Drosophila melanogaster: one gene and its partner. The protein of the gene in region 2 interacts with the protein of the main gene of each other region in a pairwise test. Each region holds a gene or a part of one and is shown on either strand. Other genes may lie near its edges. The genes, in order: Cp18 and Mes2.

Region 1 (6,389 bases), about 14 Mb from region 2:
TGCTCCCAACTGAGGCCCAAAATCAATGGTTGCATTTGGGTGCGTGCGGGAACGCAAGCGGGTTAATGGGATAACGGGCCAACGACTGACCAATGGTTATTGGATATGGATTTTATAATATTATCTATACCTTCAAGTAAACAGAACAAACCAAATTTTAACGATAAAACATAACTTCAGAGTCTATGCCTTTATGCACATTGGCAAATATGTTATTGTAATATATATAGCCCTTTGTTTGATTATACAATTTAAGATGTTCGTCTAAGAATCTATTAGTGAAACTAAGGGTTTCATAGGTGACTAAATTCTTGAGTCACTGAAGCTTAACCTGTCGACTTTGTAGCTTAAAGTGCAATAGTACTTCTATATAGTATTGTACAATCTGCCGCAGTGAATATTCTAGCTGCCCCACTTTGAAACCCATCTTGTGTGTGGAATAATAATAATGACCCACCGCTAAATCTTAACCCGAATGCGCTGAAAAGTATGTCACAATGCAAAACACACAATACGTATTTCTTTTCGGTATTTTCCATTGCGTTCAAGCTGCTTTTATTCACTGATTCTCAGAGTTTCGCCATGACAGCCACTCGAGGATTTTAGCAAGGAGTCGATAGTTCAATTCACTGCCGATGAAGCGAGAATTAGTAAGCACGTTGGCCGTAGCCGTGTCCGATCTCGTAGCCGCGAGCGCCATCCAACTCGTAGGAGGGAATGGCGTACTGCTTGTAGGTTCCGGGATTCACGGCAGCGGCGGAAGCGGCGGCAGCGGCAGCGGCACTTCCTCCATTACCCTCCGATCGCAGGCTGCGGGGATAGCTGTTGTAGCCACGGGATGGTCCGTAGGCGGGCACCTCCTCGTAGACGACGCGCTGAACAGGACCGTAGCCACCACCGTAGCCACCACCATAACCTCCACGGTTGCCGTACGCTGGGCTGGCGTTGATGTAGGCGAAAAGGGCCAGGGTAACGCAGACAATCTGAAGGTGAAAAGGGGAAATCCGGAGGATCAGTTGGCTGCCACTCCTTCACGGGGACTACCACAACTTACCAGGTACTTCATGGTGAGTGCTTAGTTTTGTTGGTTTGGGGTAATCAATCAAACTATGATTTACCGACCAGAAACGCTCGCTTTTATACGCAAATTTTAGCCTGGACATTTACGTGACCTATATACACTAATTGTTCTGTTTCAGCCCAGAAATGGCATTTCATAATTGCCCGGCTGGAATATACTCACATTTGATTTATGTACTTGTTGTCAAGCCATTATAAAATCGCTTGGTTACGCGATGTGCTATTCTACCGGGTGTTGGGTAGTGATAGCACTACGAACACGCGACTCTTCCAAATGGGAACCACGAACGCGTTTATTTTCGAATACAGTCCAAAATTTGTTGAATTGAACTTTATATTATCCACATTCTCGGGGGTAATGGTTTCCAGGTCGGTTGTGTCCGGAACTTGGCTTGTCTAAGTGAGGATTCTTCTAGAACTGGTTCCAGCCGGTTTTTCTGATAAAACCTATATAGAATCATCCCTTTAAAGTGACCACTAGTCACATACAAAACTTAAAATTATAACTAAAACATTTTAAAGTATTTCAATCATTTTGAAATTTTACAAAAACATAATTTCAAGCAAAACTATATTCTATCTAATCTCATTTTATCTAATAGGTTCTTTACTTATGGTAACTTAAAAAAGTCAAGGCTTATTTGACGAACTATAGTTTTAAAGTGGCCCCACAAATGAATTTAGTTTTAGCTTTTCAGCTTCATTCGCCATGAGAATTATTCTTTAGCACTTTAAGCAGCATTTTCATTTAACTACGAAACCACGAAATTTTTGCTGGCTCAAAGTATCGCTTGGCATTGCAATGAACCGCAAGTCTATGCCAATTCAGCTAAGATATGCAGATCTCAATTCTCGGCCCGAAACTAAAAACCCAGCAAGAATACAGTACTCAAAATTTTAAGTCTTGATGTTTTGGCTTTTATTATTATGACCTAGTTCCTTATGGGCAGGTAAGTTTTTGGTTCACTGTTCAACGTTTTGCCACTTAGTAGCTGGGCCTCTTGTAGCCCTTCTTTCCGGCGGCCACGGAGCTGGCAGCAGCGGCTGCGGAGCCTCCCTTCACCTTCTCGCTGTGTCCGTACTCCTGGTTCACGTAGCTGGTGGGGGGATAGACGGGCTGGGCGTAGCGGGGAGCCTCCTTCCAGACCAGAGGAGCTCCAGCGCTGGGAGCGGCCAGGGCGAGCTTGGCGAGGGCAATGGCCTGGGCATCAACTGGTGGGGCACCGCCGTAGCCGGAACCGGAGTACTGAGATCCCACATTGGCACCGCTGTAGGCAGAGGACACGGGCACAGGCACCGACTCGTAGGCACCGCCATATCCTCCATGGTTTCCGCCGTATCCACCACCGTATGAGGGAACGATCGCCTTAACGGTCAGGGCAGGCTGCACCTGGTAGGCATAGCCACCGACTGGGGCACCACCGTATCCACCACGGGAACGTCCGTAGGAGTTGGCCGAAACGGCAGAGATGGCGCAGAGGCAGATGCACTAAGGGATTCAAGAAAAAATTCAATTAATTTGGGTTTAGACTGAAGTGTATTAGAAAAGAAAGATCCAATCATATTATCCAATTATTATAATATGTAGTTATATTTTATTGAAAGGATCATACTGGACTCAGTTGAGGTGTCAATAGAAACAATATTGGAACTTAAGGCTTACCATGAACTTCATCATTCTGAGGCTGAGTTGGTTAGTTGATCGATGCGAAGGTAACTAATGTCTTATTCTGGCGCAATGTTTTGTTTTTATACCAGATCCAGGCAGAGGCCCAACTCTTACGTGACGAATATGATGCAAGTTTCGGCTCTCCGGGTTCCCGCAGACGCAGTTCCAGGCCTCGCCTCTTTGTCCAGCAATCTTGAGACGCCGCCGGAGACGTGCAGCCAGGCCGAATCCGCACTGGCCAAAATGCTGGCTCTCAATTCGGGCCGGTCCAGATAGCAGGCGTCTGTGCTTACGCCATCGTCTACCAGAGACGAGACCCATTACGTAAGATTCCGACCGCATGACTCTTCGTGCTCCGGATCCGCATAGTTTCGATCAGTATTGCAGTTGCTTTGCCCCACGGTGCCGAGAGCTTGACACCGATTTTTCAGTGACACAGTGAAGTCAAGGCAGTGGCCTGAAAATTCTGCTGCGTTGGTAGAATTTATATACAAAAGCAAAAAAAATTGAGATAAAATTACAATAAAATTATAAACACAACCGTTCCACTTTCCAAACTGCCGCACTAAGCTTTTTATAACATTCAATTGGCGCTACACAAATTGTGAATGGCTTATGGGCGGGCGCAAACATTTAATAATGAATAATAAATTATTTAGATGTTGGCCAGGCTCAGGGTACCAGCATCCAGTAGCCAGAAGACGAGTGAAAACGATCTTTCTCCGTATGCATTTTCTCTTCAAGATTGCTTTATTGGGATTTAAGCTAGTTGCTTTGCTCTTAGGAATTAAGTAAAAATATTATAAGACTGGAAACTGGAACTAGCGCCAACGACGACACGATAAATATTAAATAGTAACATTATTCGCAATACAATGCAAATGTAAGTCGGCTGAAACCTCAAGCCAAGATTGACGGATCTGAACATCCATCACAAGTCCGATATAGCCAGCTTGTTGAACAAGATATTTAGCGGAGGCTAATCTAGATAAACGACACGTTTGGGCCAGGGCCCTCAGACTTTATAAGAGCCGAGCTGCCGATGACAAGATCAGAAAACTGTCTCCAAACGCTTACAAAATGAGTAGTCTGCGTTGCAAGGTGAGATGAGATGATTATGGTTTCATCGGCATGGACACATTAATGGTAATTTCAATCTGCAGATCCTACAGTTGGCTGTGCTGCTTGTACTGGCTGCTTTGCAGATCGGAGCAGATCATTTGGAGAGCGATGAATGCGGCTGCGGGCGGCGGGGCTGAGATGATACATCAATAAACAAGCGTCAAGCAATGCATACAATTCGAACTGTTGTGGGTTCTGGGGCAAAACCTATCAGAAGACACGTACGGCTGGTCGCGGGGCCAGCTGTGTTTCGCACATGGCCCGTAGCCGGGCGAGCAGCATGTGCAAATGCTTTAAGCAAGCTGTCGACGATTGCTGGGCCCCTAGGCCATGTTTCCCAGTCAAGGTTTCCATATACATGCGCTTGTACAGCTTTGACAACTGCTTGGGATCCTTGCCGGCCAGCGTGAGCTTCGTAAGCGTCTTCAGCGCATTCTGCAGGCGGCTTTCAAAGAGCGTCAAATGGCCGGCGAACTCGTCATCGGCCACTTGGCCACTGTTAGTATCGATGACGTGGGCAAATATGAGGTGACACTGTAAACAAATTTCCAAAGCCGCTTGCATTTGCTTGATCTTCTGTGCGGTGTGAGTGGAAACTGCCGGAAAATTGAATTAATTTATTTTCTAACTCTTAGTGGCCTTTACCATCTGGTATACTCACGTTCGGCCAGAAATTCATGAAGGGAAATCCGCTCTAGCTGCACCACCAACAGGTCTCCCACCTCCTTAAGGCTCTCTAGAATTTGAGTGGCCTTCTCGTAGTGGTATTTACAGAGCTGTAGAGTAGATTTGGGCAGCTGAGAGAAATCACAACAGCCATGAGAACGCAGCTGCGAGTAGTGGAAGGAAGCAATCCTGGAAAAGTCAATAATTGTTTTTATGCATTTGCTAATTGCAACTCATAGTCCTCCGTCCTACCTTTTGTGTATTAAGCCCGATCGAAAACTGTATAGCACTTGTCGTGCACCAGGGTGTTCGACATCACAAAGTCGCAACGATTTCTGAAGCAATTCCAGCACTTCTTTGGAGGCGTCAACTAGGCTGGATTTGTCTGCTGCGCTGTGGTCCTGAAGTTGTTTAGCTAACGTAAAAGTGGCAGTGGATAATTCCCAATGGACGAGGTCCCATAGTTCGGGGTTTGCTTTACGAGTATCCAGACAATCTTTGGCCTTCACGTAATAGCTGAATGCCTCGTTGTAGAAGGCTTTTTGGCTTTCTAAGGTTATGGCACTAAATGAAAAGGAGTTAAAACGAATCATGATTATTAAAACACTATTTACCTCTCATTGGGCATGATAAGATGGGCGCGCAGGCGCATAAATCTACCAATATTGCAATATAGAAACGCCAAATTGACATTATCTTTCACGGCAGTGAAGGCTTCTATTCCTCGACGTAGGCAATCATAAGAATTAACTGTCAGTTTCACATACAACGGCTCGGAAGGATCTGCCGTTGGGCTATCCTCCGTTTGGTCATTTCCAGCGTCTTTTGTGGACTCCTTCTTCTTCATTAACTCACTGTATTCCTCTGCAATTTATAATTTCCATTAGTATATATTTATGATTTCAATAGTTGCGCTGCGTACCTTGAGCCCAGTACATGTACTTAAGACCAAGCTCGTTCCGCACGTTTCCTAGTCGCCGAAGCAGTTCATTGCTTTCCGCTTTCTGGGCATGCTCCAATGCTTGTTCGTAGCACTTGCAGCTGTGCAGCATCACTTGCTCCACATTGTTGGAAGGCGCCAAGGAGGGCAGTTCCTCTTCTTCGCCTTCCAGCTCCTGAGCCAACTCGTCGCCGATGAAATCCATCGAGGGATCCAACTCCCCAAACTGCTGGATGTACTCCTCAATGGATTCCCAGTTTTTCGAAATCTGGAAAAAACAGTCACCTGCCCGGCCGAGCAAGCAACTGTACTGTGAAACCACATTGGCCATATACTTATTGAGCACTTGTTGGCAACGACAGGCCAGCTCAATGGATCGCAAGGTAGATCCGTACCGGCGGGATTCATAATAGTGCTCTGCCAGGGTGGCAAATGTCAGGCAGGCCTTTTCTAACAGCAGAAGTTTTAAGTGGACGTTCCAGGAGCCAAAGTGCTGTGTGTTAAACTTGGCACTCATCTGCTGATTGCTGGCATTGGCGGATTTGGACTTGGTGGTAGTGGTGAGTTCCTTAGATTTGCTGCGTTTGGCCTGCGTTTTGGAGTTTGGTTTCTTCACAACTTGTGTTGGCTGCTGGCTCACTTTAAGCTGCTCGTATGGTAATGGAATTGCGCTGCAAGGCTTCGCCATGTTCGGATTTTGCTCCTCGTGCAGAATTCGGCGCTTCTCCTCTTGTTTGGCATTTGTCTCCGATTCCTTCAGTTTCTCCTCTTGACTTCCATTGAAATACTGCAGGCATGATAGTCCAGCACTAATGTGCTCCAAAGAAAAGCTACACCGCTCAGCAGTTGTAGCTATTAGAGGAGCCGGCTTGGACTTCTTGGCATGAGATTTAAAGTCTCTCAGGGCATCGC
Region 2 (11,189 bases):
ACCATTCGTGTAATTTATAGGGTAGACCTTAAAGAAGTTTATGTTTATTTTTACAAAAAGAGAATAATAATGCAAATAACAAAGTATATCACACGATACTTCTGCAACCCGACGATTATGTACTATGCTGATGTTGATGAAGCCTAGCACCAGTTTTTCTATTTTCTAAATTTCTTTATTATAGCAATTTGCTATAGATGTCAAATGTTGATAAAACATATGTCAAAATTGTTAAATAGAAGTAAACGTTTCATAGAAGAGGCGATTTAGTAATTGTAATTTGTGTGGTTTTTGAAAATATATTAACGTGTCCTGAGTATTGTTATTCACCGATATGGTTCTAAGCCATTTCATAACTTCCACTGGGTATACCATGTCAGAAGTTTGCAGTGAAAGATAGTAGTATATATGTACATATGTTATATTCGTAATAAGTATCAAAAAGTATCTGCCAGTCTGCTGCAGAAACTGGTCTTGGCTTTAAAGCTTTCTACAAACAACTTTTATAAAAGTATTTTCTATTTCAGGCAGTATATATGTATGTAAGTTGCAACGGGCCGGATCCGAGAACTATATTGCTGATATATAGTTGACATACTCGGTCCAATTTTAAGTTCCAGTTTAACGAAAATGTTGGCTCTTTAAAATTGTAAACAGCCGGCCACGGTCATTGAACCCGCTTCTTTTAGCAACAGAGGTGCTAACGCAGGCAGCATCCCTTAGGGGCACTGCATTACGGCCTTCAATGAATTCATTCAGCTATTATTGCGTTGAAAAACCAGTTTTGGGCTGCGTCGAGGCTAGGGCTGAGTTTTGGCATCTTCTGCGCATGCGCAACGCTCTTTTTGGGTTTAAGGGTTTGAGGTAGCTAGATACCTTGGCCAGGCCGAATCTCTTGATAGGGGTTGCTTACCGTAGGTTTCGATGTGGCTATGTATTTATCTTAATAAATTTTTCGGTCATATGCAGCGATACCCAGGCTCGATTCGCCGTTTTTTTTGGCTAGGCTTACCCACATCTGCCTGCCATGGTATTTATACGTTGTTGTAGTCTTTTGTTCCTTTGTTCTTCGCCTATACGTCCTCTGTATTAATGAATTGGAATTCCTGCAGTCTTACTTGAGCAGAATTGGCAGGATGCTATATGGATGTGTTACAGGCCCAATGTGAGTGCTTTCCATTGTCGTAGGGCTGTTGTTGCTATTTGAGTATCATATTCAAATTTTGTTTAGTTTAGGAGCTTTAAGTATGTAGATTTACACCGAAACCAACAAGAGGAAAAAAATCCCCTTTCGCATTATTAATAATTTGTATACCTTTGCAGAAGGTACATTGATTTTAGTCAGATATTTGCCACACAGTAAAGGGGGCATTTGCAACCGTAAAAGTTATAAATGCTCCATCAATGTGAACTGCCTAGTCTATAAAGCTAGTCAGTCGTGAATGCCATAGCAATAATCGCAAGAATAAAATGGATAACAAAGTTTCCTGATTTGGTATCGATATAAAATATTTATTCCTGACTATAAATAATTTCGGATTTAAATTAATAAAAATCGGCTGATTATGTTCATGTTCGGTAGACACGTTTGATTTTTTTATATTTAAAGGTACTTTATTACTCAATATCCACCGAAAAACGGAAAACTTTTTCAAAATTTTTGATTTAAATTGGGCTGAATGGCCAAAACATTGTCTGCGTACATCGATAGCAAAGCATTACTGCCAAAGATGGTGTTTTATTCAAAAACGACAAATTGTTAAAGCTGTTCTCATTTAGTGTTCAGATATTGTTAATATTCATATCGCTGTATATGAAACTATGAGTAATATGCTCGCTTTTTTAAGTTAAAAACTTTTCTTTTCTAATTTCTACGTTTTCAACTTAACAAGAAGTTATATTATATATAGGCGATATAATCTGGGTAAAATAAAAGGTTATATAAAGAATTGTTTCATGTGATGAGACGTTGGCATGAGTATGAACTACAGTTGATCGACTTAAAACGAAATTAACATTTAAAGCTTAATTAATCTATGTTTCTTATTTTGCTATTTCTTGGTTTACGTCTTTGTGTTGTCTTTTCGTTGAGTTTGGTTCATTTTTGTTAATAGGAGCGAAAAAATTAGAGAATGTTTTAGAAAATCATTCATATTTGATTGATCCTTTTGGTATGGCACAGATTTGGCATTGGCAAGTAAATTTGTATTTCTTTAGGAAAGTAATATATAATGGCAAGAAAATTCAGTTATAAGTGCTCTGAGCAGCAACATCATTCCATTATGTACTTTTTTTTGGCTACTATAATTACACCCGTACACTTAGCGCTCTTCTCCTCCGCTGTCTATTTCGTGGACCCTTCGCACTGCTGCACTTGAACCAGTAAGAGAAGAATGCGATTCATTAAATTGTCCGCGTCCGAGTCCTCCATGCTGTTTAGCTTGGCTGAAATAAAGCCGCAGAACTTGGAGTTCAAAACCTCACGTACAGTTTGTGGGGGCGGCAGATCCAACCCTCCGCTTGCGACGCCCTGTTGCTGCCGGAGATGGCGGTGCTGTTGCAGCATTTGTTCTTCGTAGTCGTCACCATCGATAACCGCATCGCCGTGACCGTTTCCTTCCTCCAAAACATCTTGATCGACGTTACGGCGAAGCTTGCGGGACATGACCACATCGTCCACACCAACATTGGGGCTACCGCGTGAGTTGGAATCCAGAATCAGAGGATAAGGGAAATCTGCATCGATGGCATCCAACTCCTCCACTACGTCGGATGCGTGGGCGATATCTTCGTCCCCGCTGCGTATCGAGCTGTCGTCCATGTCTTCATAGCTGTGATGCTGTGCCCTTTGCTCGTTTCTCGTTGAGCTCACCCGACTGTCGTTGTGAGCCTGGTGAGCGGGCAGAGGAAGTGGCCCGCCGCCGGAGCTACTCCCACTTGTGCTACTTCCGGCCCCACCGCCCACCGAGAGATCCAGCTCCGGCTTCACATAGTAGTCGCAATAGTAGTGATCGTCGCTTACATTGAGCGAGGAGCACTTTGAGAGATTTAACACTGAGGCGGACTCGTTAAAGGAATTGGACAGCTTCAGGGTCATTGCCTTTCCCCCTGCAGCCAAGCTGTTACTGTTGTTGTTGTTGTTGTTGTTATTGTTAATATGGCCATAGGTTGTCAGGCTTAGATCGGTTGCATGCGAAGCGCCCCTATAATAGAAAGAACATATGTTAGAAGACTAAATTATTTCACATTTTAACGGGTTTAAGGTTGGGTTTTACTTTTGCGTCATATTCAATATTCATATTCGCAGCAAGTCTGCGGTATTTTTTTATTTTGTATTGATGTTAAGTTGAATACTAATAAAAATTTGATGAAGGAGGTTGTTTAAAAGGGCATACAAAAAGATTAATAAATTTATTAAATACAATAACATATAACCGTGACTAGTGGTTATGTACATTGTTTTTAATACACTTTAAGAACCGCCTACGTTCTTAAATTAAAAGTAGAAAGAATACTTTTCTTTGTCTCTCACACATCATTTATAGTATAACAGATTTTCTTTCTCTTATCTTAAATTATATTAATTACAATAAATAAAAAAATATTAAATAATGCTGGCAATAATCATTTGCAAAACGTTGGGCAAAAAATTAGAAATAGAATAGTCTGAAAGACAAATCAATAAGTTCGTAAAACTTTGCTAGGTTGTCATCAACTAATTAGCTTTGTTTTATGCCGACGGACATTGCGATCGGATAGTGACCCTGATAAGGAAAGCATGTTCGTATTAATTGTGAGTTCGAAAACACACAAAAATATAATTGTATTAGCCTTATAGAGTTCATATGTTTCCTGTGACTCAACGATTCATATCCCCATTTTGAAATCTTGTCTGTTTAAGGCAATAACACAAGAAATGCATAAACATAAATGTCTTTCAGTGTAGTATCGCTTCCTGTCTCTCTCCTTACGCGTCTCAAGTTTCAAGAGCATTTTCACAGGCAATGCAGCTGCCTGGGCCGGGTGCTCAAAGAACATCTGAACGTGGCTATTTTGGGCCTCCCCCATACCTATAGTTATTTGCCGAATGCAAAGACCTGGCCTAGTGGTAGGCACGGGCATGGGCGACCTAGAAGACAGCCTTATCACCGCAATCGGCTGCAGGTAGTTGACAATTGTAAAATTTGAAAACTGATACTCGCTCGCCAGCCAAGACCAAAAAACTCGCAGGACTAATCGAGTCGAAATACATTTTCACATGTTCCACAATCGGGAATGGCTTTATTTACTTCATTATTTTGACTTGGTTTCTTTTCGGGGTTTGAATCGCTCAGCTTATCATTATTTGCTTCCGCTCTTGCTTAGGTCCCAAGCCGTTTTCCGAGATTGTTTATGGGTTTTTGTGGTTTGAATTCGTTTTCTAAAATCTCTATCACCTGCACTTGGAAACAAATCTATGAATATTAATATAATAATAACATAATTAAATATTCCAATGGTCCGAATGAGATTTTAGATTTTTGCAGACCTAGAACTTTTTATTATGATTTATTAGGCAAGAACTAGCTCCATGCAAAGGCATTTAAAGGTACGAGAATCAAAAGGCAAGCACGGACTACCGCCCACTTTTCTTCTTCCGTGACGCATTGGCTAAAGCATTTCAATGCGAAATACGGCGGACAGTGATTTCAGGGCGTGGGGCGAGATTCGGATTGTGGGGATGACGGACAGCCAAACAATTTCAGCAATTTCGCAGCACATTTGCTTATTAAATCATAAGCGTGACACAGACAGAGCCCAGCAGAACTTTCACACCCAAGTGGCCTCGTGTGTGTGAGGGTGAGGGTACGAGAGCCCCCCATTAAGAGAGGACTGAACGACGAAAGCATGTGGGCCAGGGCAGCCTGAAAGAGGCGTCCAGACCCCGACTCTGGGTCTCAGCAACCCCTTGGCCGGGACGCGGCCGATGCGGCTGGCTAATGGTCGTGGGCATATTTTTAACCCTGGCCGAAGTCAGACCAAGCTATTCGTTCAATTACTCAGCTCACCCATACAGCGATCTTTACGAGTGTTCGGTGCTCATGTCATACACACACAGGCAGAACCTCGCTCATTTTCCCTTACCAGCCCCTTTCTCGCTCACGAGCTACCAGTCTTTCCCAACTTGGTCCACTCGCAATCCGTATTCTTCGGTGCTGATTGTCATTTTCGTAGTGCTCTCATTAATTTATCGCTCTCTCGGCGCCTTCCCATAGTCCCCACCCCTCTCGCAAGCACTATTCGATGGACTTGGTCTTGCGTTTGCAGCTTCCCTCAATTTCGTTTTTGGTTCAAGCAGCGACGATGCTGCGACGTTGTATAATATTCGCCGCTTGGCGAGATCTGTGTTATGGCTATGGCTGTGGCTATAGCTGCGGCTATAGCTCCGGCTCAAGCGCTGCCCGACTGGCCGGGCCCGTTGAGCTGTCTGTTATCAGCTCACAATAATAAAAATTTAAATATATACACACACCATGGGTGAGTGTGCGCGGGCATGTGTCGGGGCCGTCGACTGCTTGTTGCCCATGTGGGTACAGTCAATTGAAAGGAAATGGCCTTATTTCATATAAATATGTACATAAAGTACACACACTCACACACACACACACACCCGCAGCTCGAGCACGGCTCCATATGAGCCAGAACATTGGACGGGGCAGACTCTCGACTGAGACCATTTGCGGGTCTCTGGCCCGGTCATTCCTTTGTTCGGATTGGTTTTTTCCACATTACCGCTCCTTAGTGTCCATATGCCCCCTTGCCTTGTTTTTGCTATTCTTTTTCGCTGGGCAGATGTTTTCTCAGACACGGTGCTGAGATTTGCTCGAATTGTTGGGCGTTTATGCAAATCGACTGGGCTAAGGGATGAGTTTTGTACGAAGGCTCGAATGGAAGTGGAATTTCGTAGTTACGGTTCGAATAACTTTATGCTAAACTTATCACATGTTTTTTATGTGACAATTGTATGTATTGTCTATTCGATCTGAACATATTTCCGAATTCTCAATTTATTTAAATTGTCAGATCTTTACGAAGTCCGTGATTCTATGATTTTTGAAATAAATTTATTGACATATTTTGTCCAACATTAGATCTAAGCCATGACTCACAAACTCATACACTTCTCAGTGTACATAAGCTGAAGTGGCTACTCGCATAAAATGATAAGATTCTTGGAATTTCCTGCAATAATTATTTTTGATTGAGCCAAGCTAAACAACATTGTTCGCTTGACTGACTACTGACAAGCACACATATTTTTAGGGGGGCAGATTCGGAAAAACCTCTTTCAGACACAGGACTGGAAAGCATACAATACCTTCGACCAATGTAAATGATCGTTGGAAAGGTGAGTCACATTATTATTGTGTATAAGTTAGCTAGTCTTCAAACTGATGCATGTATTTGTTTCGCATGAATCAATCCGTGTATGACCAAAACAGAAGACCAATCTAAACCGAAAACTGTTATTCACGACTCAAGCCAAACTTTGACCGTTGTTCGATGGTTGTATGGTTAGTGACGGCTTATCAAACTCATTGTAATATAAGTAGCCAAATGTACTCCTGACACAAATAATGTTCAGAGTGTAAGACGATATTATTGAAGAACTGTAGTCGTAAGGGAGCATTACTTTTGAGAAATAACGGTTCCACTTTTAGATTTGTTTTGGTATCGATCTCCAAAAAGCAGAGGATAAGAATAAGTACGTTAATTAAGATCATTTTGGGAAAGGTAAATATTGCCTAGAAAGATTAAAAGAAAACTTGGAAATAAGTGCAATACGTTCTGTAATAATTATTCGTTGATATAGAATTTCATGTACTTTACTATTCGATTATAAGAATGACTCGTATTTCTGTCAAATTTTAAATTTAAGCGCTCTTCTCTCGTGTTCTATTATTGCTTTTGCTTTTGTAAAGCCATTTGGATGAAGATCATTTTTAGTGACATGATTTGTGGTGTGGCAATAATGGGTCAAGCAGAGAATGCAAAATTCATAACGGGCTCTATATTACTGGTCAACCCCAGGAGTCGATATTGGCATGAAACTTCCTTGACGGTTTTAAATTTAAGAGAATCACCTGGTCACCAGTTCACTAAAATACTATTCCTTATACTTACTTTCGTTCTCTGATGACATCGCGCAGGAAATCCATGGCCTCATAGAGACTCCACTTGGGCTTGAAGCCATTGCCCATTAGCTTGACGTGGGCGAGTTCACGGCGGTAGGATTCCCTCAAGGACTTGAAGGCCCGTGCAACGCGACGCCCGGGAGCGTTGAACTCGCGGCCTATGTGCTCCCAGGCTCGGTTCTTTTCTTCTTCGGCGCCCTTGAAATTCGGGAGACGGGAGTCCCAGAGAATTGGATTGTCGTGCACCATTTGGATGAGCTTCAGCTTGTCGGAGGCGTTGCGCCGAACCACTGTTGGGACACAAAAATGAATGCAAATAATATAAGTCCTCGAGTCTCGACAGTCGAATATTTTAAGAAAGCACGGTACAGGCACCTCAAAACTTCTATAAGTCGAACTTTTTTAACCCAAATGTACATACATACGTATGTACGTATATGTATGTACATTGCACATAGGGTGAACCGAACTATTTGAATAGGCAATGAAGAGATAAAATAAATTCTACTGCTTGTTCGACGTATCGACTTTCGACTGCATTTTGCATAAAAATTGTACATATATACATATGTATGTACGTATGTTTGCATGAATGTGGGGAATAAATCTGTGTACGCACATTTCTTTATCTTCTGAGAGGGCATGGCAGTTGCGGCGGCCAGGGGGTGGGGCTCCAACTTGGGCTTCATGTCAAGAGCGATTGCCGCGGCGGCAGCACTCATGTCCTGCAGCGAGTGGGTGGCGGTGGGCAAACAGCCGCTCACGGGCGCCATCAGAATGTTCTGGAGGATTTGAAGGCTTGAACTGGCCAGGGCTCCACAGTACTCTTTAGTTCGGACGCGATCGCGGTCGGCTGATAACGGGGCTGCTACCCTCTCACGACCAAGTTTAAACGGCAACTAAAAACCAAGACCAGAAAATAACAACCACCGCGGCAAGCGGGCTGCGCTCAGCCGTCGTCGACGCCGAGCCGGCAGCGCAGTTGGCAGCAAGCCCGCATTCAGAGCCAAAAAATCACGCGCATTCGACATCGACATGAGAGCCAGCTATAGCTCTTTGCGCTCTCTGTCTCTCTCCGGCCGTGGCTCGCTGCCACCGTTCCCGTTATCTGATCCAGACATATAGGTCTAAAGCGCTCTCCGGGCGCTGCCTAGAGCGCGACTCGCCGGATGGAAACCCCGTTTAATCGCAATCACAAGCCACAGAAAGTAAAAGCAAGCGAAAAGCGGCGTCGCACACACACACACACACAACAGGGAGAACGCGCAGAACGAAACAACAGAAAATGTGTGTAATACAAAAATCCGTTGACGCGTTCGCATTTGGTTTTAGCAGAGGAATTGTCGAGCGTTCGTACGTACTTGCATACATATGTATGTATGTACTACATGAATGTACCATATACACATGTATGTACATACATACATACGTACCAAAATACTTGGATAGCGTTTCTTGGCAGAATACGCTGCACTTCGGCCATATCAGCTTCAATTAATATAGGGGGGTCGATTCCCGTATCGGAACAATTTCGAGGAATTTAAAGAATTCATGACTATGTACATATGTACATACATTTATTGTAAATCTCCAACGCATTAAGGTTTTAGACTAACATAATAATTATAAGTTTACTGGAGTACACACATACATATAATCTTGATCTGTCCGCCTGTCCGTTCGCATGCAAGTTAGTGCGTTCGCAAGCCTATCCAGACGCCATGAAACCGTTTATTGGCCAGGTATCCTGCTCTCAGTTGTGAAAAGGGATTTGATTTTCATTTCATTTTGTTATATAAATGTAAATTTCCATCGAAATGACAAAAAAAATCTCAAAATTCGCTGAGTAACGGGTATCTGATAGTCGAAAGTAATCGACTATTGTTCTCTCTTGTTTTAAATAAATAAGAAGAGAGAACGCACGAGTTCCCCGAATATCAAATACCTTTTACTCAGCTAGTGGAAGTGAGAACGCGAAATTTCATAATTTTTTAGGACCATCGATAGATATTGGACAAGAAGAAATGGGAGGTTTGTGGTCGTTAGAGTGGGCGTGGCATAAAGTTTTTGTAGCAAATCGATAGAATTTTACAATACTAATAAAAATGTGAAAAAAAGATATAACATATTTTTCAAATGTGTGTCCGTGACAGGTTTCTGCGGCTTACGGTCGATAGTGGGTGTGGCATAATCGATAAAAATTTATAATTAAAAAAGATGAAAAAATATCAAAACTTTTTTAAAAGTTTTTTTGCAAAACCATACACATTTGCAAGACTAATAAAACTATGAAAGAATATCAAAACAGTTTTCAAAAGTGTGGGCGTGACAGTTTTGCCCGACTTGTGGGCGTGGAAGCAAACTGGCTCTGTGTCTATGTTTCTAGAATCTGTATGCATAATCTTGACCTTCTAGTTCTTATAGCTCCTGAGATTTCGACGTTCAACGGACGGACAGGCTATTGATCCTGATCAATAATATGAATACTTTCTATCTGTTAAATACTTTTTAACGAATCTAATATACTCTTTTATACTACGAGTAACGAGTATAATTACTGGAAGATAAATAATTTTGTGTAGAATTTACGATATAAGAGCACAAATTTGTTGTTAAATGTAAAGAGGGCTAAATATACTCATCGGACGATCTGATTCCATCAATGGCTGGCTGCTTGACTTAAAGATTTATAATTTTTTTCCAGGGGGCCTGGCCATAGCTTAAGCAATGAATAGTTGAAGAAGGGTGGGTTAGTGTTCTACCACAGTGTGTTTTTGTGGACTCCGCCCGTGGCTGGCTTCGTTCGCTGCAGTTGTAGAGTCGAAGTTCAGTTCATTATCGTATTTCCCCGTTTATAGAATTTACAAATGAACATTTGGATCACACATGTTGGTCTTGCCAAGGAGTGACAGGGAGGCACCGAGAGTGTTAGAGTGAGAATGCGTTTGAGCGAATGCGTGTGTGTGAGTGGCAGCACAGATAAGACCGTCCGAGGTTGTCTATTTTGTCCCCCGATCATTTAAGCCGCTGAAATCCAGTAACTGCAATCGACAACCGCGTCGGTAGGGAAGCAAATGGCGAACAGAGAGCCAGAGAAAAATGAAAACGCTTTGTCTGTACGTAATTTATGCCTAATGAACTATTTCCGGCCAAGTGTCAATTAATGTATTCTGTTTTGGGACAACAACAAGCAGCACAACGTGCCCGCACAAACGTTGTCACGATCATTTTTCTGGCAAAACTCTGCGATCTCCGCCCTATATCAGATTCCCCACCCTCCTTACCAAGGCAATAGCTTGCTTCCGCTGCTGTCTTCTCTTATCCACAGCTACATGCATATGTATCTGGCCAGATCTGAAGATTGCCTGAGCTATTGGACCGTTTGTTCACAGAGCGCAAGGGTATACAAGGTTAGTTTATCCACAATTTACTTACATACACACAAACTTGACATAGACCTGATATCTGGATTCCATCAAATCGAAATAGACGAAAGGAATAGACGAAAGAAATATAACATAATTCTCAGATTCGGGCGTTATAGTGGTCGTGGAAACATGAGTCAACAAACTTGCGCTGCGTCTATATCTCTGGAATCTCTAAGCTTAATCTCAACCAACTTCCAACTTTTATAGTACCTGAGATCTCGACGTTCATACGGACGGACAGACGAACGGACAGGCCAGATAAACTCGGCTATTGATCCTGATCAAGAATATTTATACACCGTATATGGTCGGAAACAATTAATTCTGCATGTTACATACTTTTCAACGAATCTTGTATACCTATTTACTCTACTTGCTGTCTCTCATAGGTCTTAACTTTGATTTTACAGACTAGCTTGCATTCAATTTATGGACCCCCGAAGAGACTATGTTTACATATAGAATTTAGATCTATTTCGAAAATTTCTTACATAAAAATTGAGAATTCTAAAACAACTAGTTATTTTTAAGCTTATTAGGTAAAAAATTAGATTTTAAATTGGATTATGTTGAAAATAAGTGCATC

The links.
Region 1: the proteins of Mes2 (region 2) and Cp18 interact in a two-hybrid assay, tested with the Drosophila melanogaster proteins (one large-scale study listed by BioGRID).

What each region holds. Positions count from the first base shown.
Region 1 is NT_037436.4:8,723,204-8,729,592, reverse strand, and holds Cp18 (chorion protein 18), read right to left. Parts: upstream 2,803-6,389; 5' UTR 2,759-2,802; coding exon 2,744-2,758; intron 2,570-2,743; coding exon 2,066-2,569; 3' UTR 1,980-2,065; downstream 1-1,979. Other genes in the region: Cp15 (chorion protein 15), read right to left, coding at 648-983, 1,055-1,066; CG43965 (uncharacterized protein), read left to right, coding at 3,830-3,850, 3,913-4,008; CG6511 (uncharacterized protein), read right to left, coding at 4,082-4,467, 4,533-4,726, 4,790-5,101, 5,152-5,401, 5,460-6,389. UniProt on the Drosophila melanogaster protein: Chorion membrane (egg shell) protein; plays a role in protecting the egg from the environment.
Region 2 is NT_037436.4:22,942,546-22,953,734, reverse strand, and holds Mes2 (Mesoderm-expressed 2), read right to left. Parts: upstream 8,079-11,189; 5' UTR 7,949-8,078; coding exon 7,795-7,948; intron 7,741-7,794; exon of another isoform or gene 7,551-7,740; intron 7,466-7,550; coding exon 7,165-7,465; intron 3,204-7,164; coding exon 2,345-3,203; 3' UTR 1,487-2,344; downstream 1-1,486.